Linked DNA regions of Daphnia pulex. The protein of the gene in region 2 purifies or fractionates together with the protein of the main gene of each other region. This does not show direct contact. Links are inferred from orthologs where the notes say so. Each region holds a gene or a part of one and is shown on either strand. Other genes may lie near its edges. The genes, in order: CXXC-type zinc finger protein 1-like, UDP-N-acetylglucosamine--peptide N-acetylglucosaminyltransferase 110 kDa subunit-like and paired amphipathic helix protein Sin3b-like.

Region 1 (10,623 bases), on a different chromosome or scaffold from region 2:
TGATTAAAATCAAAAATTTAGTGAATCAAGGCATCAACGTCAACTGCCTCAATCAGCATGGATTGACTCCTCTGCTGCAATTATTAGCTAACGGTGAAGCCTACCATCAAGAAGATTTTGTCGAAATCGTTCGCTATTTTGTCGAAAAGAAAATCAATTTGAACGCAAAGAACGCATACGGAGAAAACGCTCTTCTCAAACTGATTGCCCAGTATCCAAAAGACGATTTGATCGACATTGTTCAACTTTTCATCGATAACGGCATCGACATTAACTGCAAAAACAAATACGGCACTAATATCCTGCATTATTTGTGCGAGTACTATTCACACGAAAATTTAATCGACATCATTCAACTTTTGATTGAACAGAAAGTCGAAATCAATTGCATTCACGATTACGGATACAACGCTCTTCCTGTCTTACGTCGCAATTATAACCACGAAAATTTGCAGGACATAATCGAACTTTTGATTGAGAACGGAATCGAAGTTCATTGCAACCCCTCCAACGACGGCAACGCCCTCCAAATCTTGTGTAAAGTTTACAAGAAAGAAAACTTGATGGACATCGTTGGAATTTTGAGTAAAGGAGATAAAAGAAAAGAAAATCCACATAGCGGTTCTTCGTCTAGAGCAACGAAAAGGAAACACAAGTAGCTTGATTGAAATAAATGAAACTTTTATTGTTTACTTAGTGAACCGCTGTAGAATAAACTATATGAGAGAAATTGCGTTGCAAATAAACGTATTAGGTTTTGGGGTCTATTATTTTTCTTAATGACTCATTTGGATTGAAAAGTTGCCTTTCGTACGCACTACATTCGCTGTTAATTTCGGAAATCAGATAATCAAAACGCTTTTATCCTTTCACTATTTAAATTCTTTAGATAAAAAGTTAAAATCTAATATCAATTGACGAGTTTCATTACTAAACAAGTTTTTCAAGTAGATTCCTATCTGGATGAATTTAAAATAGTCACAAGAATGGATACTCGAGTAGATAGAAATGTAATCAATCATTTAATTGACTGAGAGAAGAATGGATAAAACTGTTATGCAAATAATTCACTAATCTTATTCCTTTTTCCAATAAACTAAAGGAAGGAAAGTTACATGACGATCGAAAGGGCAGTGAATGCAAGCACTTACATTAAGAAGACCTGCGATGACGTTGTTGATGTTCCCCTCGTAATAGGAAATCTAGGAAATAGTTGCATGTCTTATGCCACCAGATAGATGTCCTTTCTTCTATAATGAAACTGAAACATTGATTAATACTGGAATTTAAATTAAACAAGTTAAATATTTTTACCTGGATGGGAAGATGTATAACATCGTGGCGGGACTGGTGGCTACGTGAATGTAACAACTCTGTTCTCATATATATGCTTCATCAGTCTCCCCCGCAGCAGTGTTGTTATTGATTGCTTCCCAGAATACTACTCACTAAATTGAAAGTGAGAGTATCTAAACATTTGACACAAAAATGACATAAATGACATATTTAACTTGCAATATTTAAAAAAAAAATTATGATTCACACCAAATAAAATATTTAGAAAGGAGAAACTCCCATTAAATATTTTGAATGATGAGCGGAAACCTAGCGGCGTGACCCTATTCAGTATAGACACAGTCAACAACAGGGAACAGTTGAAACTTGACCGTTCTCAACGACAGTAACTGATTATTTCGTGCTCCATCGTGCTCCATTTAACATCCCATTCGACTTTTAATTGCTTTTTTAAATCTTGGAAATTTCAAAATAAAGAAGAATTCGCACACACGACTAAAATGTGGACTACGTTATTCGTCTCGATTTTGGTACTGGTGAATGTCTGCCCATCCAACACTTCCAAAATTTCGCCATGGACTAAACTGCAAATATCTCCTACTGAACTTTGCTCTATGCCCTACGGCAGTTTTCGAGTGAACATTTACCAACACGCAAGCAATAACAAAAGTGACCAAAGCAACAACAAGTTTTTCTACGCTCCCATCGCCCTGCTAGATCACCAAAGTGCCGTCAGTCAATTCAACAACATCACGATGCTCCAGGAGATTCGATTCCGCATTGAAATGTGGAACGATATCGTCGAAAGCGAAGTGGTGAAGTATTTAAGCAAAGTAGTCGATCACGAAGTTCAACCTCATCAAGTGCAAGTGATACCCTTCGAGAAGGTGGTACTCGTCAGTACAATACCACCAAAAGCTGATTCTTTAACCACCAATTGGCTGCCTTTTGAATTCCACAAATCACTGCCATTTTCTCTTTCGTGTTTCGAACGAAATGTTTGCGACCAACTCGCTCAAGACATGCGCTCCAAACCCGAACAGTTCAACTATTTAAAATTTCTCTTCAGTTGGACGTGTCAGACTACGGAAACTAAGGACACAGTCATCCGCATGGAAAATGTCATTTCGAGTCAAATGGTTAACAAACTACAGCGAAGATTCAGTCAAGACACAAAAGAAGTTTTCCTGACTGCCAATGACGAGAAGCAACTTTTAGCAGAAACGACAACTAATGTCTTGATGGATACTTTCAAGGACTCGGATATCGTTTCACCTCACTCGGGACGGGTTGTTTATAACTCGTTGAACAACTTGCTCTTCTCTTCCACGGCCACCATTAAGGATCAAAGCGATTGGGACTTGGTCTTTTGGACAGACGACTTTTACCGACCGGATAAAACTTCGGACACGTTGAACAAAATTTTTGAAAAAATGAACACGGAAGGACAAGAAAAGTTGCGGAGGTTGTATCACCATGCAGATAAAATAGACGGCGAAGTGGCAAAGTTCATCGAGTTATTTGCAGATGAAGCAAACTCTACTAACGAATTATACCGTCACGGCTCAACGACGAAGGAGGGTATCGAAACATTTTATCGAGAAAGTAAAGACCACGTCATCTGGGCTAGTGATAAATTCATTCCCAAACTGCTGTCGCTCAATAGATTTAAACTGGCACAGTTAAGAGACCAACTATCGCTGCAATATCGTAAAGTGTCTATCCGTTACACCGCCGCCGCCCTGTCGATCCCTATGAATTTCGCCCAAAATGCTGACATGACAGTCACAGACGAATGGCACAGTCTCAAGCTCAGCGTAGCCAATCTGACAAAAGGATTATTAGGTAAGAAATGGTAATGCTAAATGCATCTCAATAAAAACCTATCAAGTATGTTGCGATCCAAATGAACAGGAAAAACAAGCGCAGAGAACTTCGACAAAATACCTAGATCTTGCGACGATCTTCGGAGGATCGGACACACCCATAGCGGATTGTATTCGATTATGGGAGCTCAAACGGTTAAAAGCGTCTATTGCAACTTTACAAAGCTTTCCAGTGATGCGGGTATAAAGCTCAATTATATTATAATCAAATTACGGATCTATTTATTTGAGTCAACCTTTGCAGATTTCCAGAAATTGATTGGATTTTTAGACGTCAAGTCATCGCCAACTTATTTCTTCGTGCAGAGAAAAACCAAGTTTGGGAAAAAAAATATTCCTATTCCTTTCGAAGTGGAAAGACTAAACACAGGAGGAGCCATGAACTTGGAGACAGGAAAATTTACAGCCCCTGTATCAGGAACTTATTTCTTTTCCTTTTCAGGAGTGATGGTATTTGGTTCAACATATCAGTTTATCAATATGGGATTATATAAAAATGATGAATTAATGGGAGCTGGTCATTCTGATGAGAGTAGTCAATCTGAGATGCTATCCTTACAATCGACACTCAATTTGAAAAGAGGGGATGAAATATGGTTGCAGATTTTTAGCATGTCAACATCAGGAGGGGGCATACGTGGAGATTATTTCAATAACTTTAATGGCTTTCTCTTACAGGAAAATATTGTTGAAACATATGGGAATCTTACATTATAATTAAGTTAAACTGCAAGTGGAAGCAAAATGGAGGCTGAATTTACTAATGCAGAAAACAATTTCTATAAATTAAATAATCTAAGTGGACAACCGGCTCAGACAAAATCTCTAAGAATATGCTGTAAGAAAATAGATCGTGCTGCTTACCAAATATGTTGGCTAAAGTTAGCTTAAAAAAAAGTCACAAGTTTAAAATAAAAATATGTCATTGTGCATCCATTTCAGATTCACTTTTCAGGTGTCAAACCACACAAAAGACTAAAATTCCAAAATAAGTAAATAACCCTTTCCCTCTTCCTGCTGCTGCGAATAACATGCGTGGTTGCCACATGAAAATGCCATTGGCAATGACGGGAAAAGCTTAAAAAAGTGGCATGAAATTTGTTTTAAATAAATGTCATGAGTAGGCCTATAAACCGAGAATTAAACTACAAATTAGAAATTGAATATCAAATCGCAGTAACAATCAATCAATGAAATTTATTATCACCACAATAGGTTCGGAGATATTCCTCACATGATGTAAACAAAATCAACCTTAAGTATCGTCTTCCATGGCAAGTTTTTTATTGGCTGCTGCATAGGCCTCAGAGCTGTCCGAGGTAACACCAGTTTGACCAGCGTACTGTTGCTGCTGTTGTTGCATTAATTCATGATTGAAAGTTGAATGAAGTATGAGCGGTAAAAGTCCAGCGCGCTGCGCCATGGCAGTTCGGATTTGACGTTCTTTTTCGAATAGTTCATCGAGTTTCAGCCACTGGCGAACTCTTTCCATGTCAATCTCGGCTCTTCTTAGCTTCTCCCAATTGTTGTGCTTGACGCACTTTTTCTTCTGAATCAAGCAGAATTCGCCAGTTTCATCAAAGACGTTCCGTACCGACGGATACCCGCATACATCAGTGTCATTGACCTATACAAAAGGAGACGTCACACTTCATAGATTCGAACTTAATATATCTTGAGAAAATTACCTTGGGATCTTTACAATGCTCCGGACATAGAACACGAAGTCGTTTGCAGTAAGTTCGGTTATTTGGATTGTAAAAGTCGCAAAACATGTTGTTGCCTTCTATCTTCGTTTGGAAGATTGAACCAAACGAAGTTTGACTTTCGTATTTGTTGAAACATCGCTCCATGTGCCGAATGGCATTGGTTTCTAAACAAGTATATTAAAAAGGAATATGATTTTTGACCCTAACTATCCAATGATCATTTACTTACGTGTAACACCGATGCCGCAAGTAACGCACTGAACAGTGGCCGATTCCGTTTCGCCGTCTCCACCTTCATCTGCTTCATCGTCAGAGTTTATGTCTACTGTAAATTTTTTCGCCTTTGCTGTTATTACGTCCAATTCCTGCATTGGTATCAACATAATCTTTTAGATACATGCCAGTAAACTTAACACTATGATAAAACTCAACCTTTTGTTTGAGATCTAGTTCTTCCAAAGCTTCACGGGCATCGGTTTGCTGTTTACGAATTTGTTCCAACTCTTTCTTGTTCTTCTCTTCGGCTATACAAGGTGTTAAGCCCCACTCTTGAATGCGTTGAGGCAAAATCTGTACGAAAACGACATTTTCCCACGGTTTTTTTATTTACAAAACTATTAAAATAACTAACCTGATAAATACGAGTAGTAGCCAATTTGAGACCACATTGGTCACTGCAATATTTACTTCCAGGTCGGGAAGCGTTGATGCATTGGGGACCATAACAGTGGATAACCTGAAATTGTGTTGATAATAACAATAAATTACCACATAAAACCATTTAAGAAATAGTATGCTTTACTTTTTGTTTATTCCGAGCCGGAGATTTTTCAACTTCGCTTTCACCTCCAGAATCTGTCGACGACGTAATTCTCTTTCTGCGGCGATGTTCCCCAGTAGTCGCAGAGGAACGGTATCTCCCCTTTGTTTTTTCCTGGAACAGAAATTTTAGTTAAAGGGAATGAAATTGGAAGTGAAGTAAAAATAAAACACCTTTTTATTGGTTGAATGTCGAGATGGTTTAGGGGCTGGAACAGGAGGTTTCTCTTTCCGAAGACTTGGCTCCCAGACGTCATCGTCGGAATAGTTTGCTTCTTTCAGGACAGGTTTTACCACAGGCTCATCTTCTTCAGATTTTATCTCGACTTTCTTCTGCTGTAAATATTTAATGCATTTTTAGTAATTATTTTATGCGTAAAATTTTTAAAATTGAGTAATACCTTTGGGGCGAAGGTAAGACAGACTCGATATTTACATTGTTGACGAGATTTCCCTTTACAGGCGTCACACTTGTTACAGTTATCTACTCGATAACAAGCGATACATTCACCACAATGGGGATATTGTGGAGTAGATTCCTTCTTTTCCTGTCGTTTCTTTGCTTTTTTTGCTGCCTCTTCCTTTCCTGCCTGTTCTAATTTCTTTTGTTTGTACTTGATTGTCAAACTGGGATCCCTTTGTCTACATTTCTAAAAATTAATCATACATTTTTTAAAAATAAAATAGCAAAATACAGAAATAAAAAATCAATGCATTACTGGACAGAAGAACTTTTTTATGAAGCGGGACTCTTCCTCAGTAATATCTAGTCAAATTTAAGCATGTTCCAATTACATTATTTAGTTATGTTCAGATATACAATATACCTATGCAGTCTCCATGATACCAATCTTCACAATAGTCACAACCACTGAATAAATAGAAAATTTGATGCATAAAATATATTTTTAAAATGAAAAAAACTAGATTTAGTTTCTAGAAGACTTACATCATAAATCTACTAGCATCAGAACTACGGCAGATGCAGTAAAGTTGTTCTTCAAGACCATGTTCTTCTTGCCTCATCATAAGGTCAATTTTAGATTGCCTCTCCGGCAATGTATGGTGTTTTGATATGTAATCTTTCTATAGATTTAAAAAAAAAAGAATGACTTTTAACTCCTATTCAAAAGTTGTTCATAACAGAATGAAGGTAACAGTACTGAACACGTAGGCCTAAATATACACGTAGTTCACTTACCGACATTTTTAGGAGGTAGGTTAGATAATCAAACAACTTGAAACGGTGAATTACTAAAAGTTCTTGATACTAGCGAAATTTGATTCAATAACGTGCGGATTCAACTCTTTTTAAAAAGTGTCTTTCTTTCCTTGTTGTCGAATTGTGATCTGTCAACAAGCTGAGCTGAGTGCTAACTGGCGAGGAGATAGGGAACTGCTATTAAAATCGTACTAGCTTATTTGATCGCTGGTAGATGGCAGTCGATGGTTCAATTGTCAACAATTCACAATATTTGCATTTGATAACAACACCACGTTATTGTACTCAGAATCCTGTTTTTCACTTACGTATAAAGGTAAAAAGCAGTTAGCAAATAGCTTAGTTTAATTTACCTTTTAATTATTTATTGACCATTTACTGTCGTGAAAAGATGGCCGAGTTTTATTGTGCTCATTGTAAGGTCCAAATGAACTCAAAATCTCAGTGGGATGCCCATGTAATTGGTGGGAAGCATATGAGAGCTGTTACAATGAATCAGCCCCTAGCAGTTGACATGTCAGCAGCAAGTATAAATTCAATTTATATTGTGTGTTTTGATACCAGCATTCAATATGTTCATTTTTTTTACATAGTTGTCTTGCCCAATGGAAATTTCAAATGTAAAAGCTGTGATGATTTCGAGTGTTGTGGTCACATACCTTTTGAGCAGCATTTGATAGGAAAAAAGCATTTGAAAAACGTCCAGCGTGGCAAAGAGTCCACTCAGTTTAACACAGCTGTCAAGTCACCTCTTTATGGTCAACGGCAACCAACTGCTCCTCTAGTTCACTCTCCACCAGCAATGAATAGTGGTTCCTTACCAATTGCATTAGCCGATGTGTCTTCAGCATGTAAAGTCTTATTCACTCCACACAAGTCACCAGAAAAAATTGCATTAGCTGTAACATTTATTTGCTTTATTTTCAGTGTTGCAACCTGATGGATCATACAAATGTAAAGTTTGTGTTGACTTTACTTGCTCAGGCCCTATACCCATGCAGGATCATTTGAATGGAAAAAGTCATTTAAAGAATTTGAAAACGTTTCCTGGCAGAAAATTAGCGTTTGAGCAAATGACCATTGCTGCTCCTACGTCTGAAGTCAATTACCGTCAGAGTTCGTTAACGGTCGACGAACGTATTGAAAAAGCGTGGAACCACCAGACAATTTGCGGCTACAACTACGATGAGTTATTTTCTAATCTGTCTATCGAGAAGAAGATTGAAGAGTTAAATCCACATTTTGCGTTTATCGGTAAAGATGATCCTATGCCCAATTTTGTCAAGTACTTGAGTATGTGATTAGTGTAATTTCAAAAAAAAAGCACAATCGATCCATTTTATATGCTATCTCTTTGTTGTTTACGCTTCGGCTGTTTCGCTGGACTAAGAGCACGTTGAAAGAAAACCAAGGAAAGCAATTTTTGTATATGAACTATATTGGCCAACTTTGAAGAATGATAATAAAACTGTTTGGAAAAAACATTAGTCTTCTAATTGGGCAGGAGTGAGGAAACAACAGAGTTTTTGTTCCATCCAGGAAGCTTTCGGCTTTTCTTTGGAAAAATGCCAGAGCTAATTTGTTGCTTGCTCAGTAAAAATGTGGTAACACTCTAGCAGCTTGGGGGATGCATATCCGATCGCTCGTGAAACAGCCAATAACGCTAGATTCAAGGCTAAATTTTGTTAAAAATGAAATCGTTTGCGAGCCAATTTGGGTCGGTGACTTCTTTGACCACTTCATAGCCCTGCAACGTCATATATTCCCTAATCTGGTCTTTACCCTCTTTGTCATGGATAAACTCGACTGACAGGGTCTACAAACGTAATAAACAATTGTTAATAAATATCTACATGAAATATATTTTGCTTTTAAAGTATACCTGAATTCTGACATTATTCCACGGTATGGTTTTCAGAACAGCTAATTCGTCGCCTTCAATATCTAAACTGAAGTAGTCTACTTCAGTTCGGTTGAGGGCTGCAAGGATAGAATATATTGGGAAGCATTGGACTTGGACGCTTCCCACTCGATTCTGATCGTCGAGTTGGTTTTGAGAGATTCTTCCTTGATTGAAAGCCTGTTTGAATACTACAGTTCTGCATACAACAAACAAATATGAAAGGCTCATTATTAAAGTGCTTGTCAAGCTTGTAAAAAGTGTGTCAATATTTACTTAGGACTGGAGGAGGTACTAAGGCAAGCAGGAACAGTCCATGCTCGACGATTTTTCTCTTGAACTTTCAAGAAGTTTTTGGGGTCGGCTTCAATCAAAACGCCTTCCCAACCTAAATTTCGTTCCATAAACAAAGTGTTTGAACGAAGTTCGCCATCCAAGGCACCACATTCCACAAAAAAGCCATTCTCCTGTTGGGCAACAGTACAATAAACATTGAAACATGCGAACAACCTTTCGTGATAAACTGTTATTGTACCTTATTTTTCAAGATTTCAAGTATACTTTGAGCTTGCCCCATGGAAGGATTTGGAACCTCTGGTGCTTCAAGACTAAGCTTATTTTTAGATGGAGGGTGTAAGTATTGGCCACGCAGTAAACTTAATATGCAGGGGTCATCTTGATCCATAACTGCTGAATTCACATTTTCTGAAAATTTGAAACGAGAATTAGTTTGAATTCATCTTTAATAAATGAGTGACACATTACAACACCTGTATTGCATACCCCACTATAGTGAGGTTTTCCTTGGGAATGACTGGACTGGTAGTATATCAATATCACACAGGCAAAACACACCCCCATGAACAACACAACAGGTCGCTTGAGAACTGGACTCATTTCGAGAGAAAAGGTTTGACACCTGGGCAGTAACGGATTAATAAACTTTTGCAGAGTTGTTATTGCACTTGAACGTGATGACAAGCTAGAAATGTCAGTTAGCTAAAATGCATTCCTTATTTAAAGTTAAAAGTGATAATTAAACACCACAGCAGAGTCTTCATTGGATTAATGCATAGCACGAAATACACAGGTGCGGAGAGGGTAACACTTATTAGAGAGAAAGTTTCTCTTACGACGAGCGAAAATTGGCAGACGGATCTCCATCAACAGCCCAGCTGCTGAAAAAAAAATTTCTTTACGTAGACTTCACTTTTATCGCCAACTGAACATTACACTCTCGATAGTTGAATCACAAAACGATTGATACCTTGGAGCAGAAATATGATACACACACACACATAAAGACAGGTACTACTGAACGAGATACGTGTGTGTGTGTGCCTATGTACAGAGAACGTATTGGACTCGACTCATAACGTACAGTGGCACACAAGAACTGTTTTACAGGTGAGCTTTCTAAAGAACAAACATTAATACAGAATATGAGATACAAAGCAACAAACTGAGCCCGAGTGAAAGTGACAATTGCTTCGCGGTAGAGTACGTCGACTACGGCCCGCAAAACCAGTGTGTACTAAGTTGTTCCTCAACAACCAAAAGAGGGGCGGACTTGCAGCACAGAAGGCGTCGCCAAGTTTTGAAATAAAAATTCTGGAAAAATTGTTGGAGAACCAATTATTGCCAAATAAACAAATAAAAAACTTAAATGCTAGTTGTTTTAACAATATATAAAAGAAAACTTTGGTCACGCTAATCGAAAACTCTATAAAAACAAAATTGCAGTTAATTGCAACTTAGTAGCAATAAAATACGGATGGAGTATTTTATATC
Region 2 (10,526 bases):
CATAGGAAAAAAAGAAAACATTTATAATACCAAAAGTCAATGTTATTCACGGCGATTACTGAAGCTTAACCGGTAAGCTAGCGATTAGTAATTCATTGTCTAAGTATATTTACCTTTTCGACGCAGAGATTTGCATGTCGAGCAGCTATAGCTTTTCTATATTCATGAGAGAGCGGATATAGCATTGAATGATGCGGGTGAACTGACGGCAATCGATTGCGTTCGAGTTGCTCTCCCACAATATGGATTAACCGTTTCATTCGGGTTTCATAATCGGTCCAATCACAGACAATTTGCAAACAGTGGGCCAAGTTGCAATAGGCTGAATTAAAGTAAATAAATAAATAAGTAACAGTTTTCAAAAATAATGGTTTTAATTATAAAATTTACCATCGGGGAAATCTGGTTTTAGTTTCAAAGCTGTACGGTAGGACTGTATTGCTTCTGGAATTTGTCCGCTGTCCTATTAACGAAACAAAATAAGAGAAGAATTATTTTGTGTGTTCCACAAGCAACAATGAGAGCGTTAGAAGCATCTTAACAATGGGAGTGAATACCGTACCTTGTGAATGGAAGCCAAATTTGAATGAGCATCGGCAAAGGCAGGGTTGATCTGAATGGCTCGTGTGTAACACTGAAGAGCACCATTGATATCCTGCATTTCTTTGAGCGTGTTTCCCATGTTGCTATACGCATCGGCAAATGACGGTTGAATCCTAGTTTTCAAGTTACATATTTCAAGTAAGCTAGACATGAATTATCAAGACGGAACTTTAAATCATACCGTATTGCTTCTTTGTAGTGCATGAGGGCTTCGTTCAGTTTGCCTTGTTGTTGTAATACGGAAGCGAGATTACTGTGAGCTGCCGCGAAGTCGGGAAAGACATCTAGAGCTTTAAGATAAAGCCGTGTAGCTTCTTCAATGAATCCTTGTTCCCGCTTGATGTTGGCTAGGTTATTTAGCGAATCCGCGTGAGCTGGACATAGACGCAAAGCTGTCGAATAACAATCTTCGGCATCCTATTACAGTCAAGAAAAAAAAACTCGCTTTAGCTTTCTTGGCAAGTGAAACTAAAAAAATAAAGAACTAAAAACGAGTAAGGAAGACTTGGTTAGGAGGAACGACCCACCAAAACTTGGTTGTCCTACTTCATTAAAGGAATATGTATATTAATAGACTATGGAGGTTGGGAAGGGTTTAACCTTTTCCCTCTTTCATTCACTATAGTTTAGAATAAGAAACTTTTCCTTTTTAAAATGATAACTTATTTAACAAGAGTATGAATTTTTTAAGACACGAAATGTCATTTTACACAACATAGGGACATTTTAAGTTCAAGCAATAAAAACGAAAATGATTCGAATTTTTGGAAACTATCATTTCATTACCTGTACTTGTCCTTTCTCCTTGAGAGCATTAGCGAGGTTACAGTACGCTGAAAAGAAAAACGTAGAAATGTGATAACAGATTTAAGAGTAACGTTTAATATTCAAGTTACCGTCCGGGAAATGCGGTTGCAATTCAATTGCTCGTCGGTAGGTATCAATGGCAAGGTCGATAAGACCCTAAAGTGTACCATAAAGCAGCAAGTAAAAAGAAGCCTTTAGGCATTTACATTTTTTTATCACATTTAAGTTTTCAATTACCTGCTCGTAGTACACACAGGCCATATTTCCGTGAACGACGGCATGGTTAGGACTAAGATTTAGCGCCCTTAAGTATGCTGCAACGGCCCTGCAATAATAAAAAAAAAAAAAAAACCTTAAGACTTATATCCCTTCTACAAATATTTAAACGACAGGGAAGTAAAACCAGCCAAGTAATAAACATTGGCAAAATAAGTCTCCAACACTGGCCAGAGTTTATTTTAAAGCTATTTTTAACATTATTTTAGATGCCCACTGGCTAAAATTGTCAACTCGGTTAGTCTGCCGACGCTTGTGTTGAGACGCGCAGATTCCAGCGCACTTCCTTTGTCCTACCCCTCGTTGTTTCGAGCGAATCAATCGATATCGTGCGTTGAAAGAAGAGATAGCACTACATACTAGATATCCTTCTCTTCACTGTCATCGCAGAAAACAGCAAGGAGGACACTCCTCGTTCGCATGCGAATGTTGTAAACACTATACTGCATCAAATAGATCGACATACCGTTTAAGACGAGAAACCACGCAAACCAAACATCCACTGCGCAGACTACTGTCATTCACTGATTGAGCTAGAGAGTGGTAACGACTTTCATCAGCCGAAATGTTGACAATCGTGTAGATAACCACACACTGGTAGTCCATTTGGATAACGTGGGCATGACCTTTGCCCAACGTTACAGAGTTACTATGAATTCTAAAGGAATACTACACGGGCATCACAAGAAAGAAGACTCTGACTTTGGTCAAACAATTAGTTGACAGGTAAATGTTTTCAACAATAAGTGAACGTGTCTGGAGATGTAAAAAATTTCATGACGAACCTAACGATTCAAGCTAGGCAACTGGTGTCTCGTCAAGGATGCCCAAGCCATTTTTATCCCACCTCCCGTGAGTGGAGCGTAACCGATCGGAATGAGCGTGCGCAGTCCCTTCGATTACTCAACTTTCCCCACATCATCTACGGTAGACTGGTCACCCCGCCCCTTAACACTCTAACTACCACCCTCCTCCTCCCCATTAATAAAAAATAAACTAAAAAATAAAAGCACAACCAGAATTAGCACAAATAATTTGAAAATTTAACACAAAATTAACGCTAAAGTTAAAAAATAATTTTCTGATCGCGAATACGAAACTTGGACATAGCTATCGTTATCATAAATACTATGATCATCATTCAGAATAAAAAACTGGCTGGAGAGTCCTCAATGATAGAAATAAAAAATAAATACGTCGGAGGTGATGTTTGGGTGGGAGAAGGAGAAGGGTCCTACCGAAATGAGGGCACGTTTCCTGTGCATTTTTTTTTTTCGCAAGACAGTGGCAAACCAAGAGAGGAAAATAAAAAAAAAGAAGAGCACATACGAGCCAACTCGAAATGACGCAAGCTACAAACGCACGAGACGAGAAATTTACAATCACCGAAACTAACAACATTCTTAACAACTTTTTTCTCGTCCATAAACAACATCTCTTAAAATATCTATTTCCATCCCTCACACTATTTAACCTATCGATATAAGAACTTCGACATCATAATATTATTAAATCTTACCTGTCGAAAATCCTAGCTTCTTTCAGAACATTGCCCAAGTTTATGTAAGCTGTAAAAAGAAATATGATGGTTAAATGAGGTAAATTCACATTTTCAAATGTTAAAAGTATTTTACCATCAAGAAAGTTGGGGTCCAAAGTGACAGCCTTTTCGAAATGATGAATGGCTAGCCAAATGTCCCCTTGCGCGTTAAACACACATCCTACGTTTCGTGAGAAAACAAACACGCATAGATAATTAGCATTTTACAACTTCTGAATAATTGACTAAAACGCATTACCAAGATTGGACCACGCCACTGCAAAATCACCCCGAGTCTCAATTGCTTTCAAATAGCAAGCCTTTCCACATATGAAGTAAAATACGGATAAAATTATTTTCCCAGTTAAATGTTGAAGAATGTCAAATTATGATTATTAATCAGTGTTTCGAATATTAGTAAGCCCCATATTCTGGGTGGCTTACACTGGAGATTACACTTATCATGGGCAATGCGCTGCTGTTAGCTGACAAGGGTAAAGGGTCGCGCGCGCGCAATCGCAAGGGAGCATGGGTAAGGGATAGCGGCTGGTGCGGCGAATAATTTCGCATGCTATGGGAGCTTGAGCGCGTTTAGAGTTGTTTTCATCGCGGCTGCACTTACCGCCTACCGAAAAGAGCAAGTAGAATCCACCACGAGGTTAGCTTTCTGCATTTAGACGTCTAGCTGGATAGAACCTATGGATATATCCTATGTGGTAGGCAGAAGGTTTAGGAGGAGCATATGAAAAATGGCTCGGAGCAGAAGATGCACATACAAATTTTCGATATGTTGGTTCTCCGTGAAAATCTCGATGAAAATATGCTGAAAACTGAAACTATTAACATAATCGTTGAACAGAAGAATGGATTACTGCAGAATTTTCCACCACATTTCCTATAGATATCAAGAAAGTTTATGGAGTGTCGGGATGAACATATCACAGACATTACGTCCTAAGTCTTTTCCACCTAAAAATTTAAAATTCCACTTTGGGGCCATTATCATGTGATGATTATCAACAATAGTACTACACAATAATAATAATCTGAAGCACATTGTATATGAACATTAAACAAATGAGCTGAGCATCCCATATTTCTGATCAATTACTGGATTTCTTTACCTTGGCCTCATCCAATCTTCCAAGAGCTTTAAGCAAGTTCCCTAGGTCACTACGGACACAGTAAAGATCCTAAAAAGATTGATCCTTAATAAGTAAAGGCACTCAATAAAACAAAAGTAATCAACATACTGGATTATACTGCAATGCTGAGACATATGCTTGGACTGCTCCTTCCATATCTCCAGCAGCAACTAAGGCAGCAGCCAGATTAATATAACCATCTATGAAATCAGGCTTCAGTCTAACTGCATGACGATAATTATCAAGTGCTTCAGCCAATTGACCACGTTCTTTAAAAACATTTCCAAGATTTGAATATGCTGTAAACAGAAGAAAAGTTATAGAAATTGTGCATAAACCAAAAACAAATACAATTTAATACTACCTTCAGCTAATAGTGGATTTTGCTTGATTGCTAGAAGGGAAGAACTTTTAGATTAGTACAAAACTCAGCATTAATTCTGCAAAATATCCTTAATTCCTTACCATATGTAGAAAATTGAGCAGACCTGAAACGAGAATACAATTGTAAACATTGAAATCTGTACAAAATGTGTAAAATATTACTTGTCGTAGCGTCTACATTGGAAGTGTATTGAAGATAGGAGTAGAAGGACTCCAGTGTTTGTTGGATCTTGACGCCACAGCTGCATACAGTGACGTTCAGCATTTTCATAATCACCTGCCTGGTATTCTCTGTGGGCTAATTCAGCCAAACCTTAAGAATGAACAACAAAGTTAGTATATTATCAATGCAAATTTTGAAATAAAATTTTTTGACAGAAATGTTTGGTATGTGTTTATGAATGTATAACTTTTTTGAAAAATTGAAAAAAATAGACGGTAAAAACATCATCCTGTTATCGCGTGTTTGATCTAATCTCTGCCCTTCCAATGTTCCAAAACAAATGGGGCAAGATACTAGAAACTTGCTTTGACATTAACTTACTGAAAGATGAAAGTTGATCAGGTATCTTTAGAACAATACCTCCTGCAATTTGTTGATTTTGAAGTGACTGCATTTTCCTGTGTTAAAGTTTGACACTGATGGGAAGATGGAACAAGTAATGGCTACACGATGAGTCTAGATCGTTTGGAAAAGAGACTCGATAACAATGGAATGACTGCTTCACTGTAAGCAAGTGTATGTGCTGCTCAAAGCCTCAAGTGACTTAGTGCGTTTTTTATGCCATAAACTAATCCAGAGGGCGCATCTCTTTTCTATCTGCCGTGCCCCTGATAAGCAATGTTTGATTGAGCATTTGAGTGGTAAGTAGGAGGCTATTATCGTTCATCAAACTAGTGTTTAGTAATAGTCAATAGAAAAAATTTGAAAAACAATTTTAATAGAAATTAAATTTCCCTCGATTAATTAAACAGCGAACCCTTGATAGGCGAGTCAAGTGGCGCCGCCATCTCATTTTCCACAGCCAATATTATATCAAAGGGTAAATGAATTGATGTAATTGAATAACTAATACATCAGTAAAAATCTCGGCCGTTAATTATAACGACATTATAATAAACAAAAAAACAAAAAAATTACAGCAAAAACACTTATAGTTATAGACCGGTAACGGATGCTGAGTTGCCAAGCTTTGAAACTCTTCCTGTGAAAAAAGGTGGGGAAATTGGGATAGGCGGATGCGGTCTAAAACTAGCTTTGTTGTTTAGCTTATTCAAATTTGTTATATTTATCTAGTTAGATAAATTTATTATTAACTTAGTTACTTTGAGAAGAAAACAATAGGTAATTTCTGAGTGATCTGGGCCCGCGCCGCCGTCCGTCCGCCCGCGCTAAATCAAAGGAGTCTAGATCTAGAAGTTGGCAAAATGGTTAGTTCCAAAACTGAGGATAAGTGAGTTTAATCGTTAAATTTCCCACTTTCGTTTTATCCTCTATTAGTTTAATTAGCTCAATTTCAATATTCCGTATAAATTTTCTTTCTCAGCAGTTTTGCAACTTAGCATTCCGGCTTTCTATCAAAGCAGACGACTTGCATGGTATCACATGTGTGAAAAATTCAAACAACTTGTTTGTGTTAGTTGTGAATTTGTGGTTAGGCTACTGATTTCTTAGTGTAAACAAATTCAGATTCACTCGAATCAGATTTACTCTGTTACAGTTATGATTGAGTGGGACTTGATTGAAAACCTTCATCGTAAGCAATACAGTATCAAAATGGGATTTTCGTATACTTTATTATTTCTTATTATACGTTTCCAGGGCGAGGTCTAGAGCACATATTGGATCAAATTTTTGGATATTTGGATTATTATTGTCTTCGACGGGCTGAGTTGGTATCCGTCGTTTGGCAAGAAGCTTTGTTGGAAGGGAAAATCTGGAAAACATTACTCGGTAGAAATGTAAGTAGGCTTATTATGGCAGTGATTATTATGTTGTATCAAACCATGTTATAATATAATTTTGCTATGTATCCAGATGCGTCTCTTTCCATGCTGGAAGGATATGTTTGTTGCCTTGAAAGGAATGAAGCATAAAAGTTTGGATTTTCAAGATGACTCTGCTGAATACTATCGTAAAATTTGCTGTTTAATTGAAGTTGAATTACAGGTCTAACATTTTATTTTGTCATCTTTTTATCATCTTTATCAAGTTTTCTTTGATAATAGGTGCTTGAATCAAATTGGAAGAAGATGAAATACTCTGAACGCAAAAGTGAATTTGGATGCATTTCCCATAATTTATCAACTTTTTATAATTCAGCAGACTATTATGACTTGAATGGAGATTGGATTGTCAGAGTACAGCCAGATCGCAGAATTGTTATACGAAATAGATGGACCCTTGAAATCGAAGATGTATGTTTCTGATTAAAGACCCATAGAATATGGTATTTGATAGTTTTTTTTAATTTATGTGTTATAATTTTTTATATTTTAGGTTCTTGAAATCCCGATCATGCAAATTCAGTTCAACGAAATTATACCGGTTTTGAAATCCGTTAAAATCAACGACAGCTTCATTGTGGCTTCATTTATTCACCATCCGGAAATATGTGTCTGGGATACGAAAACTAGGGATCTAGTATATTATTTGCAATATAAAATTAATGCTTTTTCATCAAGTTTAATGAAATGTATGCTTTATTTCTCTAGCTTTACGTGATAGATATGGATTCCTGTGGCATTCAAGAAGAAGAAGAAAACGACGAAGAATCATTATATCATTCAGAATGCGGACTGAGTCTATGGAAAAACCTTCTGTTATCCTGTTACACTAGGGTAAAGAAAAGTTATTGCAATTTTGCTTGCTCAAGCTAATTTAATTCAAATTTCCTTCTTAAAGTCATTAATAGGTCTATCTTGGATTCTCACTTTGAGATGCTTATCACCATTCATGGGTGAAGAAGTAGTAATACTACATAGGACAGTCATTGTGGGACCCGGAATTATGTGGGGACTTTTCGTGGACGAAATCTACACCGTAATTTTTTTTTTACACTATCAGTCACTATCAGAAGATGTGACTGTTGAAATTCGGAGTACGACATCTTTTGAAATAAAATCCGTTATCAAGTTAAATTCCAAAGACATCCCTTCTGGCTTCCACTATGCGAACGGATTGGTAGTTACTGGCCCTGGTGACCGGGGAAAATCGATTAGGTAACCACGTTCAAATTCATACATTTTAAAACATTAACCAGAATAATTTGGCCCTTTCTTAAAATAGAATTTGGGATGTAGTTACGGGACAATGTATTGTCAAAATTCCCCATCGTGAAACTCTCGCTTCGATCCGGTATTTTACATTAAATATTAAATAAAATTCGATGTCTGATACATATTTAATCAATTTATTCATTCAATTAGGCTTGTTTCAAATAAATACATCGTTGGCTGCGAAAATTCGTGTAAAATAAAAATTTGGGATCTCCAGACTGCTCTCAAATCAAATCGTAGTCCCAATCCTGGATGTCTAATGAAGACAATCCCACCTCCTCCAGTACCGTACTTGGATATACTGTTTCCCCCATCATTAGCAGTTGACGAATTTCAGATAGTCCTTGTTAGTCAATTTGATCGTCGATCATTCCGTCTAAGTGTGAAAAACTTTTTGGATGCTGCCAAATAGTCAGTACAGCAGAATTTTTCCTGTTGCAGCTGTTGCTCAACTTTGCTTTCATTCATCTCGGGCTAAATGAAAAAATCAGTCAATACAGATATGTCATTACTTTTGTTATTGATCCAAATTCCTAACATTTTCTTGCAAATAAATTGAATTTCCAACTCAGAAACTAAAGTCGTAAAATCATCTATAATTTTTAAAAATCACTAGTGCATTCATGGAATGACCCGCGTTTATTGTAGCTGTACACGTATCATACAAACAAGCTTCCACATGACTAGACAATAACTTGTTAAAATTGAACGAGATTATTTACAGGGAACATTTTTCATTGTCATTATTAATTATTGATTTTTTTTTTCACAAGAAAAGTGCGTATAATTTCACAAATTAGCTCTGAATGATATTATTCTCTCGCCTGCTGGTGAACAGCCAGATCGTAGTTGTGAGCCTCTGCATAGAGCGAAGACTCGTTATCGATGTTCTCGTTCTGCAAAACCATTTGGCATCCAGCATCGTCAGATCCGCTGTCATCCTCATCATCGCCATCCCCTCCAAAGTTGTTGCATTCTGACTGGGCTCCTCGTTCGGGGAAATGATGAGAAGGTTCGTATGAAAAATGTTTGCCAGTCGAGAAATTCTTCATGGCAATCCTTGGCGATTCGATGGGTTGGACTGTCCGGTCGACGAAACAGGAGCCGTTGGGTAGCAAATGACTTGTGAGACTGCGAGGTGGATCGTAGTTACTACACTTGCTGTTGGGATGCTTATTAGGTGGTCCCTGATAGTTCTGATGCGAGTTAAACGGCCGTACGTAGCTGTTGAGCCGTGGATAGGCAATATTGCAAAGATCCTGGTTGACTGGGGGCATCACTCCAGTTGGCCTTACATTTTCTATGGGGTTGTGATAGGCGTAAGCGTACTCGTTGCTTCCAGAGTCGCTGACCTCTTCGTTGTCTTCCGGCGAATTTGGTTCCTCCTCGGCGACAACTTGGTAGTGATCGGGGGAGTATCTTGAACCGTTGGAACCGGTGGCACTGCTGTTGCTGGCCAATGGGGAGACTGATGACCTCCTGGTTGGATTCACTCCAGTAACCGTCGGAGTCAATCCGTTTCGCTTGGATAGGGCTGGCGAATTGTGAACTGGCAGTGAAGGTCCGTTATTGTGAGATGCGTTCTTGAAAACGAAATGACTGGCTAACGTCTGTCAAGTTCCAAAAGAAGAAAATTGATTAAATGAAATAGTTGTATGCGTGAGAATATGATACTCTATACCTCGTGATTCGGTCGATCAAACACGCTCTGTGAAGGGCTGGAAGGTGGGGGGTGACGCGGCGGAGGAGGTAATAATTCACCCAGGTTGGGCAGCAGTTTCACACCGTTACTATTGTTACTCTGTCGGCTTTTGGAGCTCTTCCCTGATGGATAGGCCCGGCGGCAGCGCTCGCCCAATTCGTCCGTCGTGTAACCGCTCGAATCGGAGGCGGAGAAGGCCGAACACGAAGCCATGTAAGGGTCGTGGTGGTTGCCGCCAACCTGCTGTTGTTGCATGTTGTTGTTGCGATGAGCGACCAACGTCGTGGTGGCATAGGCCGCCGGGTGGGGCTGCGGAACGTTCGCGTTCCGGCGGGGTAGAAACGAGCTGAGACTCAATTGACCCGGATGCTGATGGTGTTGCATATGTTGCGGCTGCTGCTGCAGGTGGTCGTGACTCATCATGCTGTGACCTAGGAGCTCGGCGTATTCCGGCGGTGGAACCAGTGAGCGATTGGCCAGAGCGGCCGTTCCGTCTCCGTGAGGCAAAAGCGTGGCTTGAGCATCGATTTCTTTGGTGTTGCCAATGGATGTCGACCAACCGCGGGACCAAAAGGCGTCGCGACCTCGGATGGTACCCGTCACTCCTACGCCCATTCCGTGACAACTGGCGTCGACAATCGGGTCGGATTTGCTCAAAGCCGACAAGGCTTTTTTCTTGGCCAAACTCCGGTGAACGAAAATGGCAGTGATGCCCAGGACGAGAATGGCCAGGAGTATTCCACCCAGGAGAAGAATGAACCACGTTTCCTGGACCACTTGCGTGACTCCT
Region 3 (10,320 bases), on a different chromosome or scaffold from region 2:
CAGAAGTTTCTAATCATGTTACAGTTATTGAAATTAGTGGTCTTCCGACGGAATCAAATCTATCCGATAAAAATGGTGTGTGGAAGGCTGCAAAATTTGAAACACCGTTAACGACTGAACAAGAACTGGAACTGCTCCTCATGATTGAAAATCATGAACGAGAAAAGATTATCGAAAAGCTCGCTGAAGCCATCGAGAAGGAGCGCAAGTCTGTGGAAAGACTACAGGAAATTCTAGCAGAAAATACAACGTAATTAAGTTAAGTCTATGTCAATTGTAATAAGATTAGAATGCTTGATTTGTGTTTCAGATCATGGAGTGACAGCTCTGAAGATGATGAAGGTCTTGATGTAGGTGAAGAAGAACAAGAACAGCTTTTAGCTGAAGTGCTGCGTGAAAACCGTCAATTAGAGGTAGGTTTAACTGTAGTGTAGATCTGTGTCTCTTATAGTAAATTTTTCAATGATTTTGTTTTAAATTTATAGGAACAGAACATGTTGCTGCAAAATCAAATCGAAGAAGTGGGAGAGGCATGCTTAAAGTTTAGAGCTCAGCTGCGATTACGCGAGGAAAGGACAAAATTACTAACTGGTGGAAACGGAATTATCACTTAAATCTTTTCGCTGTATAATCAGTGAATTGTCACTTTTGTCCTATTGCTTGTCGTTTTTGTTCAAATAAATGCTTTTAAAAACTAACTTACCTTTCATTGTAAGCAACAAAAGTATTTATAAGGTGTGTTGAATGAAGTCAATTCCGAAAATTCCGTAATCAGTTAGGGTTCTATTAAAAAAAAAGATGTTTACTATTTAAAGACGTTAAGACTTTTCACTTTTTGTCTTAAACTCCGATTAGTTCAATCATTCTTGATTCTTGAGTGCTAATATTTGATTGATAGATTTGCGTTTGTGCTTGCGATAAAAGTTGTTTCGATAAAAGAAAACACTACGCGCTATTTTTTAAAGTTGCTTTTAATAGACTGAAAAATTTGACGCCAGGTGGCACTTTTTGCATTGAATTTTTTTTTACAAATTTAACTGAAATACAATCGCAAAATAAAAGAAGTTCATTTTACGATATTAATTAGTAGAAATATAATTAGACAGTAAATTAATTATTTATCACATTCATAGAACCAAAATAATTTAGGTTTGCATTGATTATCTGACATCTGGCACTCCAGCATCCTTGTGTAGCCATTGCCAAGCGTAGTGAAATAGACAATTTCACTTCTTTTCGTAAACGTGTTTAGCCGGCTGAGAGCTCCCTTACAAGATGCCCGTGAGTCCCTTTAATTTAAATATTTTCTGTGTTGTTTGACGATATCCTCAAATTGTTTTCACCTAATAGCGAATAAGTTTTGTACTTGCAATAATTCTTCTTAAATTTCCTTTGTCGATCTCGTGTATTACTTCTTATTGGGCCATGTGCCCTCGCATGAGGCCCTATGGCGGCCATCTTTATCTTGAAAAAAATGTCTTCCTGTGTACAGAAAAACAAGATTTTTCGTCTCTTAATTGAGTTAATTTTTATTTTCAGCTCGCACGTGATTTGTTGCATCCTACTCCGGAAGAGGAGCGCAGGCGGCACAAGCTGAAGCGTTTGGTTCAACATCCCAACAGTTATTTCATGGATGTCAAGTGCCCTGGTAACTATAATCTGATATCTTAAAATTTCATGAAATCAATTTTGCCAGGCAACTACACCTCATCGGGGATTGTTTGAATGCACATATGATAGTCCAGCTTTTTCTCATATGAATTAGTTGGAAGAAAAAAAGTGCAACATTATTTGGAAATTCTTGGCAGAACTGAATGGATAAAATGACATAACAGTTTTGAGAAATTCACACAAATGAATAAAATAGGCATTACCTATTGTAAAGGGAATTGATAAATTTGTAGTGGGTTATTCACAAAGTGAGCTGGGGCAGTCTAATTTTATATTTTTTATAGACATGGCTCAAACACCAGTATATGATGTTTGTTGTGATACATTTCTTTGTTCCTAGGCTGTTACAAGATCACCACGGTTTTCTCCCATGCACAGACTGTTGTGGTGTGTGCTGGCTGCTCAGCAGTGTTGTGTCAACCAACTGGTGGACGAGCCAGGTTGACTGAAGGTAAATGATTCAATATAACAATAATCTTGATGTCTCCTGAAAGTAGCAGTGTAGAATGTTAAACAGAATTCATGTTAGTTTCTTTGCAAAACTAATCAAATCGTTTTCTATTCAGGCTGCTCTTTCCGCAGGAAACAACATTGAAGAAATATGCAGTTTGGCCTGGCTGCACCTTATTGTACTTCATCTAAGATACCATTCATATGTAAAGAGTGAATACAAGTTGCATTGTCAAGGCTATTCTGAGTCTTTGTTTAACTGTCTGAAAAGTATAAAGTGTATCTGTGCAAATAAGCCTTAACATGGCAAGTCTCGTATAATTCCTTCTAACACGCAAATCGTAAAGGGTACATCTTAAAACCGCGGACATGTTGGGACATGTCTATGCTGCAATGCTAATATGACGTCTTATTGTGCAACAGACGATTGACACGTTACGGTCGTGACATTAAGGACAAAGTCAATGTATGAAAATTAAACCTGCGAGTAATGTCCGACTATCCAAAATAAATATTTCATTATGACTGACATTGACATTTCCTATTTATTTATTTAAAATTTTGGAATCAAAGTTCTAAATCTGACCACAAGATGTCTAATTGTCGTTATTTGTTTCGTCTGTCTTGACAGATCGTGTGTGCTGAGTACTTGTTTCATTCTTGAAATCTAATTCTTCGGAAATGATCAAAGCTATACTCGTGTTTAACAATCATGGAAAACCTCGTTTATCCAAATTCTACCAATATTTTGTAAGTTGAAAACGTTTAGGCGCTTTATACTATTGAAACTAACAAGTGAAGTTGTGACAGAATGAAGACATGCAACAGCAGATTGTTCGTGAAACTTTTCAGCTTGTTAGTAAGCGCGATGATAATGTCTGTAATTTCCTTGAAGGTGGAAGGTATGTTTAGTTATAATTTGTTATAAAAATAGTTTTTAATTCTGAATTTCAGTTTGATAGGAGGATCTGACTATAAATTGATCTATCGCCATTATGCTACTTTATATTTTGTGTTCTGTGTTGATTCCTCTGAATCTGAGTTAGGTATACTAGATCTCATTCAGGTATTTGTTGAAACCTTGGATCGCTGCTTTGAAAATGTTTGTGAACTGGATTTGATATTCCATGTGGATAAGGTACATTTATTTATTCCTTCACTTGTCAATTGTCTTTTAATTTTCTACTATTTTGATATCTTCTAGGTTCATTACATCTTGAATGAGTTAGTCATGGGAGGAATGGTTTTGGAGACCAACATGTCTGAAATTTTAAGTCGGATAGAAGATCAAAATAAACTAGAAAAATCAGAAGCAGGGCTTATTAGCCTCAAGAATGTGAATCTTCCTAATTTACCCAACATTCCTCAGCAGATAAAAGATATTAAACTTCCAGATCTACCTCAAGCTATCAAAGACTTAAAATTCTAATGCAATGGCTCTCAATTCTAAATAATTTTTGCTGTATTGAAATACACCATATATACGTTTAAATTATGCTGTTATTATTATTTTATGTCTTTTTATCAAATTCGTATGTTTATGTTTTATCAAATTCGTGATTCTGAACGTGATAGATGGATTAAAGATTTTCGTGAAAAAAAAATAGCTTTTAGTACTGTACGATAGATGGCCATTTTCCTATTCAGTTTGAACATAACTTCCCGCTTTCAAACAGCGCCTGCTGTATTTTCCCATCTCGCCGCCATCATTCGTCGTCTGGCCAGTTAATACCTCTGTTCCTCTCTTAAACAACTAACGTGTATTTCAATTGTTGGTGAATTTCAGTGATTTTTCTCACTTTAAGAAGCATGCTTGAGTGATCTTTGATCAACTAGAGACTTAACTAGCAACATTTTCTCTCTTTTGGTAAGTTATTCGACTTTATTCGTTATTCATCTCGTTAATGGTTTTCTTGGGCATCACGGCATCACGAAGAATTTGCAAGTTCACGCAAGATGTTTATTTGATGGAATGGGAATGTTTCAGCGTCGTTTTATCGTTATCAAAACCTGTTAATCGCGTAAGTCAAATAAAGTACGGTTTTGACGTTAATTATAGAAAGACATGATCGTTTAGTATGTGTTGAGCTCTCTAGGATCGAACTTGGGCTGTTTGAGCGTGGCAACACAGCTGATGGTTTGTGTCCCTTTACCCAACCCCATCATTCTGGATTTTCTTACCTCCCTCAGGCTACGCGTTTCCGGACCTTTTGAGAGCAGGCAGGCCAGGCCTCTCTACCCCCTCTCCCAAACAACACCCAACCCCTCGTTTCGCTGCATCCCGATAGTGCAGCATTGCCGGTTTACCAACTAGTTTATTCGCATTTTTAGAGTTTTTTAAAAATCGAAATAAAACGTCATTTTCCACATTTCGAAATTGTGTTTATCGCAAGTGACATGAGAACGAGCGGCGAATATTGTTATCAGAGTTACAAGTCTTAACGCGATCGATTGTTGATGGTTTCCAGCGCCAGCACTAGTCGCTCCGTATCAGGCATGGCGAGTAGTGTCGGTAGTTTCAGACGCCAGCAAATTCGAGTCACTCTTCGAAAGAGCACTACAGTGAAAAGCCTCTGGGTCGTCGTCACCTAGTTGTGAGAGATCCCAGACGACGTGTGTGTGTACATGTTTGCCTCTGCTCTCTGTGTGGCATAGTGAGAGATTCCTGAAGAAAGTGAACGCCATTTCTTCTTCATCGTGAATTAAATTGAGTAAAGGGTTTGCAACTCGAGTTTCACGTGATTCGACCGTTAGTGTACTCAATCCGGCGATAGTTTCTTGGAACTATCCGAGCTTAAACGAGAGGGGGAAAAACGACGGCCATAGTTTCTCTTTTAGTACTACTGCTGCTTTAAGCAGAAACACAGTGTAAGCGTCGGCGTTGTGTGAAACTTTCGATCTTCGGTTTTCATAGTTTCTTCACATGGACATTCACCATTCATTTACGCTGCTTAAAGGTGACCTTCATTGACCTTACGTTTTCTTTGATTTCTCGTAATCGACTCGTTCATTTTAGTCGTGTCTTGGTCGTGATTGCTCGTCTTTCATTTCCCATTCTTTTAACATAATTTACTTGATAACAAATGGTTGACATGGAATTGTAATGATCTAGATTTGAACAGAGGAAGAGTTTTTAAGTCCCGTGAGACTTGAAAACTTGTAGCAAAAGAAATGTCTTATTATGTGATGTGACGTGTGTTGTGTACGGCATTCCTGTGCTCATTGCTGGCCAAAGTGAAGCGGAGACCGCTCTTTTTCGCCTTTCGATGAGCCAATAAGAAATCGGTTTCAAACCGCTTCACAGCTGTTCTGAGGTTGTGCGTCTCCCTTCGAATTCTACCCAATATGGAGTCGGTCCACTTAGGTCGGCGTTATTATCGAAGCGCTTCGCATCCACTATTTCCTCCAGTGTTTAGTCTGCGTTAGTTCTGCTGCAAAGTAAAGTCTATGATAATGGTTTCAGAGGGAAAACAGTGGAATATCGCTATTTTTTCATTGTTACAGAGGTTGTTGGATGCATGACGAAAACGGGATTTTTGTTGATTGAACGTGTCTATTGATAGGTACAAGTCCGTTCTGAATGGTCTAAAAGCGGTTTTAGTGGGACCGCAACGTTGCCATATTTAGTATACTCCGTCTCCCACATACTATTTCCGGAAAGCATTTGAAATCTCGTGGCAATTGACGTTTAATTTCGAACATCCCTTTTAAATGAACAAAACTGTCTTTTTAAATTTATTTGCAGCAACAAATTTCAGTTAATATTTCTTTAAATCCAGTTGTTGTCTGTAAATTCCCGATTTCCTTTGTCCGGCAGCAATGTTGTCGTTTCTCTTTGGGCGGGAAAGGCGGTGGGATCGATATTTGTGTTGAGACCCGAGGAAGAAGACTCCCGGGTTAGTTGAATAATCGATCCGTCCGCTGAGCAACAGACGCAGCTCTGCAAAAAGTGTATTTAGCTTAAAAATAAAAATGACTCTGAAAACTGCATTGCTGGCGTCCAGTGGGATTTGTTTACTAACTGTCTGTGATTTGTGTTCTTCTACAGTCGGCTGTCTAAGCAATGCCCTACAGCTGGATTGAGAATGAAACGCAACGAAGATTCCGTACACATTTCGCCCTCCGCCGTTGAGTCTGTAGCACGACCATTGAGTGGATCAATCCAGTCCGGCCGCGTCTCCCCTACGTCACCTATGGTGAATGCAATACTAGTTGGAGACTTGAGGAACGCTGCAAATCAGTTACAGGTACATCCTTTTCCCATAGTGTTGCTGTGCCTGTATACTCAATATATTCATTGCTAAATAGGAGCCCTCCATAGCAGCAAGTATGGCCTCTTTTAGTACAAGTGGGTTTGTGGCAGCTGCGAATGGCAGCACCACAGTTACAATTGGTCCTATTGGCACCAGCCCACCAGTGCCATTCTCTACTACTATTCAAACAACGAAAGCCTCCACTGCTGGTGGAGCAACACAAGTTGTGGCTCAGCAACAACACATCTTCCATCAGTCCCTGGCACATCAACAAGCACGTCACAGTTTGGCTACTGCTGCTGCCCCAGCTGGATCTCCTCCGACAGGTCAATCAACATCTCAGCAGACACAACAGCAGCAACAAAATACAATGCAACAGGCTTTTCAGGTGAGAAACTTTAAACATTTAATAGTTTGTGTGTGTCCGTTATTGCTAACTATGTATGTCTCTATAGCAAATGACTGCTGGTCCTCATGGCCCTGGTGCCCAGCAATTTCAGCGATTGAAGGTGGAAGATGCCCTTTCATATTTGGATCAGGTCAAATACAAGTTTGGCAACCAACCTCAGGTTTATAATGATTTCCTTGATATTATGAAGGAATTTAAATCTCAAAGGTAAGCATGGGTGTTGATTAAAGAAAAGTAAGGCTTTGATTAACATGGAATTATGATCTTCTAGTATCGACACACCCGGTGTCATTGCTCGTGTTTCTTCTTTATTCCGCGGCCATCCGGAGCTCATTGTGGGATTCAACACTTTTTTACCTCCTGGATACAAGATAGAAGTTCAAGCTGAGCAGGTTTGTTGTTTGTTTTTTTTTAAATTGTATCGTAAATGTTTACTGATGAATGTGTCTTCTAGGTTTCTGTTAGTGTTCCTGGTAGTCTTGGTGTCCCTGCTCACATCCACCACATCACACATGGCCCAGTACCAATAACTACCACTACTACTCAGCAACTTGATGTGGTTGCTCGAAGCACGCCCCCGATTCAGCAAGTTAGCATTACTACCGTTCCGCAATTAACTGTTGCTGCACCAATCCAGCAGATTCCAGCAGTGGCGATCCCGGTCAAAGAAGGTAAAATCTTCGTGTATTTTTATTCTGGCTTGACAAAATTGTTTTAACCCGTTTTCCTCTGTTTAGTTGTACCTACAGTAAAAGCTACAGGGAATTCTCCTATATCGAATGCTGGTTCAATTTCAACTGCAGCCACTACATACAGTTTGGGCTCTCAACAGAAAGAATCATCTTCCAGTCCTCAACTAGGTTCTGCCGCGCATGGATATGCAAACAGTTCATCACAGGGTGCAGCCGCTGTAGTCAATGCAGCATTTGGTGTTCCAAATGCGTCGCAGCCAGTTGAATTTAATCACGCCATTAATTACGTCAACAAGATAAAGAACCGCTTCCAGGGTCAACCGGATATCTACAAACAGTTTCTTGAGATACTACACACGTACCAAAAGGAACAGCGCTCGCTGAAAGAGGGTCTCGTCAGCCCACTAAACTATCGACCTACATTGACTGAAGCTGAAGTCTATGCTAAAGTTGCTCAACTCTTTCAAAATCAAGAAGACCTCTTACAGGTTAATTTCTATATTGTTTTTGGTGAAATATGTTTATTTATGCTGTTTTTATTATTATTTTAGGAATTTGGCCAATTTCTACCTGATGCTACTAATGTTACTCGTGGCGGTAGTTGCGGTGGTGGTTTGGTGCCGGTCACACTGCCAGCCATTCCAACGGGGCATACAAAGAAGCCAAGTCCTGTCACCGAGACATCTAAGCCTCCAGTGCTTGCAAGTAGTAACTTAACCGGATCATCAGTTGCACCACCGCCGAAAGCTCCACTTAAACGTCCTGCACCTCCGCCTATCATATCGTCCCCGACGGTCGGTATGAATTTGATTCCGAAAAAGAAGCCTCGACTAGATCCTGGTAGCGGCAAAGATAACTCGATTGCCGAAATAGGAAAGTTTGGCACAATGAACGAATTGGCTTTTTTCGACAAAGTAAGGCGCGTCGCTTGCCGATCACGCGATGTGTACGAAAACTTTCTTCGTTGCTTGGTCATGTACAATCAGGAAATAATCAGCAAAATGGAGTTGCTTCAAATCACAACCCCCTTTCTAAGTCGCCATCCTGATCTGCTCAAATGGTTCAAAGATTTCCTCGGACTCAAAGGTTGTTATCTTTTTATTGGTTTACTGTATCTTTTAATGTTGTAACATATTATCTGGATCTATAGAAGGAACTGGCGTTGGAGGTTACTTCACTCATGTTGAAGCTCAACCTATAAGTTTGATACGTTCGCGAATGGAGCGAGAAATGTATCCTTCAACCAAGGATGGGAAAGAGTCACGGGACCACGACATGCAAGCAATGGAGATTGACTACTCGACGTGCAAACGTCTCGGTACATCATACTGCGCTCTACCGAAAAGCTACGAACCTCCAAAGTGCTCCGGACGAACGCCGCTTTGCAAAGAGGTGCTGAATGAGACCTGGGTCAGCTTTCCCACTTGGTCAAGCGAGGATTCGACTTTTGTTAGCTCTCGCAAAACGCAATACGAAGAATACATTTACCGGACAGAAGATGAACGCTACGAGCTGGATATTGTGCTAGAGACGCACATGAGCACGATACGTGTTCTAGAAGGCGTTCTGAAGAAGCTTAATCACCGAATGAATGCCGAAGAAGCCAATCGGTTCAAATTGGACGATTGTCTTGGTGGATCTTCTCCTACCATCCACATCCGGGCCATTCGACGTATTTATGGCGACAAAGCGACCGAGATTATAGAAGGGTTGAAACGAAGTCCTCAAGTGGCCATCCCCGTGGTGCTCCGTCGCATGAAGGCAAAAGAAGAAGAGTGGCGTGAAGCTCAGAAAGGTTTCAACAAAATATGGCGTGACCAGAATGAAAAGTATTATCTCAAGAGCCTCGACCATCTAGGAACTAATTTCAAGCAAAATGACGTGAAAGCGCTTCGCTCTAAGGCGCTTATCAACGAAATAGAGACACTTTTTGAAGAACGTAATGAAGAAAACGCCAACAAGACTGATATGGGCCGTTCAACTAATGCAAGCAGTGGGCCTCATCTTAAATTAGTTTACAAGTCACGCCAGAAGGTGCTGGATGACGCAGCTGATCTCCTCATTCATCACGCAAAACGCCAAACTGGCATTACTAAAGAGGATAAACGACGCATCAAAACATTATTGAGGCATACGGTACCCGATCTCTTCCGTCACCCTCGTCAGGAACTTAGTGAAGACGAGAGAGAAAATGATGACGACGACGATGTCGAAGACAAGGATGAGCAAGACACAAGTTCAAAGAGGGAAAAAAGGAAGAGTAGCAAAATGACTAATGGCGGACGTGGTAATACGAAGGCACCGACATTGGAAGCGTTAGCCACTTTGGATGACGACGAATATACACTATTCCTTGCCAACAGTCATTGGTATGTCTTCCTTCGATTGCATCACATATTATGTGAACGGCTCACCAAAATAGGAGATAGGGCTGCCATTCTACTCCAAGAGGAAAAGGAAGAAGTAGCCAAGTCTCGTTCGCGCTCCAATGGTCGTCACAAGGAGAACGACAGCGTAGCTGTGGCTTTACGACTCAAACCGAAAGCAGAAGTGGAAATCGACCAGTACTACTCGCACTTCCTTTCGATGGTAAAGAATTTGTTGGATGGTAACATCGAAGCGCTACAATTTGAAGATTCACTCCGTGAAATGTTCGGTATCCACGCTTACTCTGCGTTCACTCTTGATAAAGTCATCGCCAATGCCGTCCGTCAACTCGGTCATCTGGTCACTGATCAAACGTGCCTGCAGTGCACCGAAATATTTCTCGAGGAACATGGGCTGAAGGGTTCTTCGAAAGGCATGTTGACCGAAGATGGATGCAATGACGAAGGAAAACAATCTG

What was found.
Region 1: the proteins of UDP-N-acetylglucosamine--peptide N-acetylglucosaminyltransferase 110 kDa subunit-like (region 2) and CXXC-type zinc finger protein 1-like purify together in Homo sapiens (affinity purification with mass spectrometry; 3 studies listed by BioGRID and IntAct, with this or other methods). This does not show direct contact. The link is inferred for Daphnia pulex from reciprocal best matches to the Homo sapiens genes OGT and CXXC1.
Region 3: the proteins of UDP-N-acetylglucosamine--peptide N-acetylglucosaminyltransferase 110 kDa subunit-like (region 2) and paired amphipathic helix protein Sin3b-like purify together in Homo sapiens (affinity purification with western blotting; 4 studies listed by BioGRID, with this or other methods). This does not show direct contact. The link is inferred for Daphnia pulex from reciprocal best matches to the Homo sapiens genes OGT and SIN3A.

What each region holds. Positions count from the first base shown.
Region 1 is NC_060019.1:1,597,827-1,608,449, forward strand, and holds CXXC-type zinc finger protein 1-like, read right to left. Parts: upstream 7,084-10,623; 5' UTR 6,918-7,083; coding exon 6,912-6,917; intron 6,797-6,911; coding exon 6,660-6,796; intron 6,582-6,659; coding exon 6,538-6,581; intron 6,477-6,537; coding exon 6,430-6,476; intron 6,361-6,429; coding exon 6,112-6,360; intron 6,047-6,111; coding exon 5,885-6,046; intron 5,826-5,884; coding exon 5,694-5,825; intron 5,628-5,693; coding exon 5,523-5,627; intron 5,462-5,522; coding exon 5,324-5,461; intron 5,257-5,323; coding exon 5,121-5,256; intron 5,056-5,120; coding exon 4,871-5,055; intron 4,810-4,870; coding exon 4,438-4,809; 3' UTR 4,360-4,437; downstream 1-4,359. Other genes in the region: uncharacterized protein LOC124190980, read left to right, coding at 1-659; uncharacterized protein LOC124190982, read left to right, coding at 1,797-3,141, 3,211-3,363, 3,427-3,899; uncharacterized protein LOC124190992, read left to right, coding at 7,147-7,248, 7,324-7,459, 7,526-7,783, 7,860-8,233; protein Star-like, read right to left, coding at 8,608-8,748, 8,815-9,031, 9,109-9,299, 9,368-9,537, 9,603-9,729. UniProt on the Homo sapiens protein: Transcriptional activator that exhibits a unique DNA binding specificity for CpG unmethylated motifs with a preference for CpGG.
Region 2 is NC_060021.1:541,487-552,012, reverse strand, and holds the start of UDP-N-acetylglucosamine--peptide N-acetylglucosaminyltransferase 110 kDa subunit-like, read right to left. Parts: upstream 5,520-10,526; 5' UTR 5,373-5,519; coding exon 5,300-5,372; intron 5,069-5,299; coding exon 4,918-5,068; intron 4,860-4,917; coding exon 4,837-4,859; intron 4,766-4,836; coding exon 4,736-4,765; intron 4,671-4,735; coding exon 4,480-4,670; intron 4,420-4,479; coding exon 4,351-4,419; intron 3,547-4,350; coding exon 3,486-3,546; intron 3,408-3,485; coding exon 3,321-3,407; intron 3,255-3,320; coding exon 3,206-3,254; intron 2,560-3,205; exon of another isoform or gene 2,293-2,559; coding exon of another isoform or gene 2,153-2,292; intron 1,736-2,152; coding exon 1,648-1,735; intron 1,567-1,647; coding exon 1,500-1,566; intron 1,437-1,499; coding exon 1,390-1,436; intron 1,021-1,389; coding exon 785-1,020; intron 717-784; coding exon 563-716; intron 464-562; coding exon 391-463; intron 323-390; coding exon 114-322; intron 1-113. Other genes in the region: F-box/WD repeat-containing protein 11-like, read left to right, coding at 6,479-6,512, 6,578-6,717, 6,794-6,925, 6,985-7,173, 7,256-7,399, 7,471-7,596, 7,661-7,977, 8,045-8,113 and 1 more; protein sax-3-like, read right to left, coding at 8,847-9,644, 9,716-10,526. UniProt on the Homo sapiens protein: Catalyzes the transfer of a single N-acetylglucosamine from UDP-GlcNAc to a serine or threonine residue in cytoplasmic and nuclear proteins resulting in their modification with a beta-linked N-acetylglucosamine (O-GlcNAc).
Region 3 is NC_060024.1:9,528,065-9,538,384, reverse strand, and holds the start of paired amphipathic helix protein Sin3b-like, read left to right. Parts: upstream 1-3,796; 5' UTR 3,797-3,988; intron 3,989-4,495; exon of another isoform or gene 4,496-5,078; intron 5,079-6,169; 5' UTR 6,170-6,206; coding exon 6,207-6,368; intron 6,369-6,429; coding exon 6,430-6,762; intron 6,763-6,829; coding exon 6,830-6,990; intron 6,991-7,054; coding exon 7,055-7,175; intron 7,176-7,237; coding exon 7,238-7,454; intron 7,455-7,520; coding exon 7,521-7,963; intron 7,964-8,026; coding exon 8,027-8,561; intron 8,562-8,625; coding exon 8,626-10,320. Other genes in the region: ralA-binding protein 1-like, read left to right, coding at 1-250, 311-413, 486-614; 40S ribosomal protein S27, read left to right, coding at 1,276-1,281, 1,540-1,648, 2,012-2,122, 2,238-2,266; AP-3 complex subunit sigma-2-like, read left to right, coding at 2,803-2,871, 2,932-3,023, 3,076-3,259, 3,326-3,550. UniProt on the Homo sapiens protein: Acts as a transcriptional repressor. Corepressor for REST. Interacts with MXI1 to repress MYC responsive genes and antagonize MYC oncogenic activities. Also interacts with MXD1-MAX heterodimers to repress transcription by tethering SIN3A to DNA.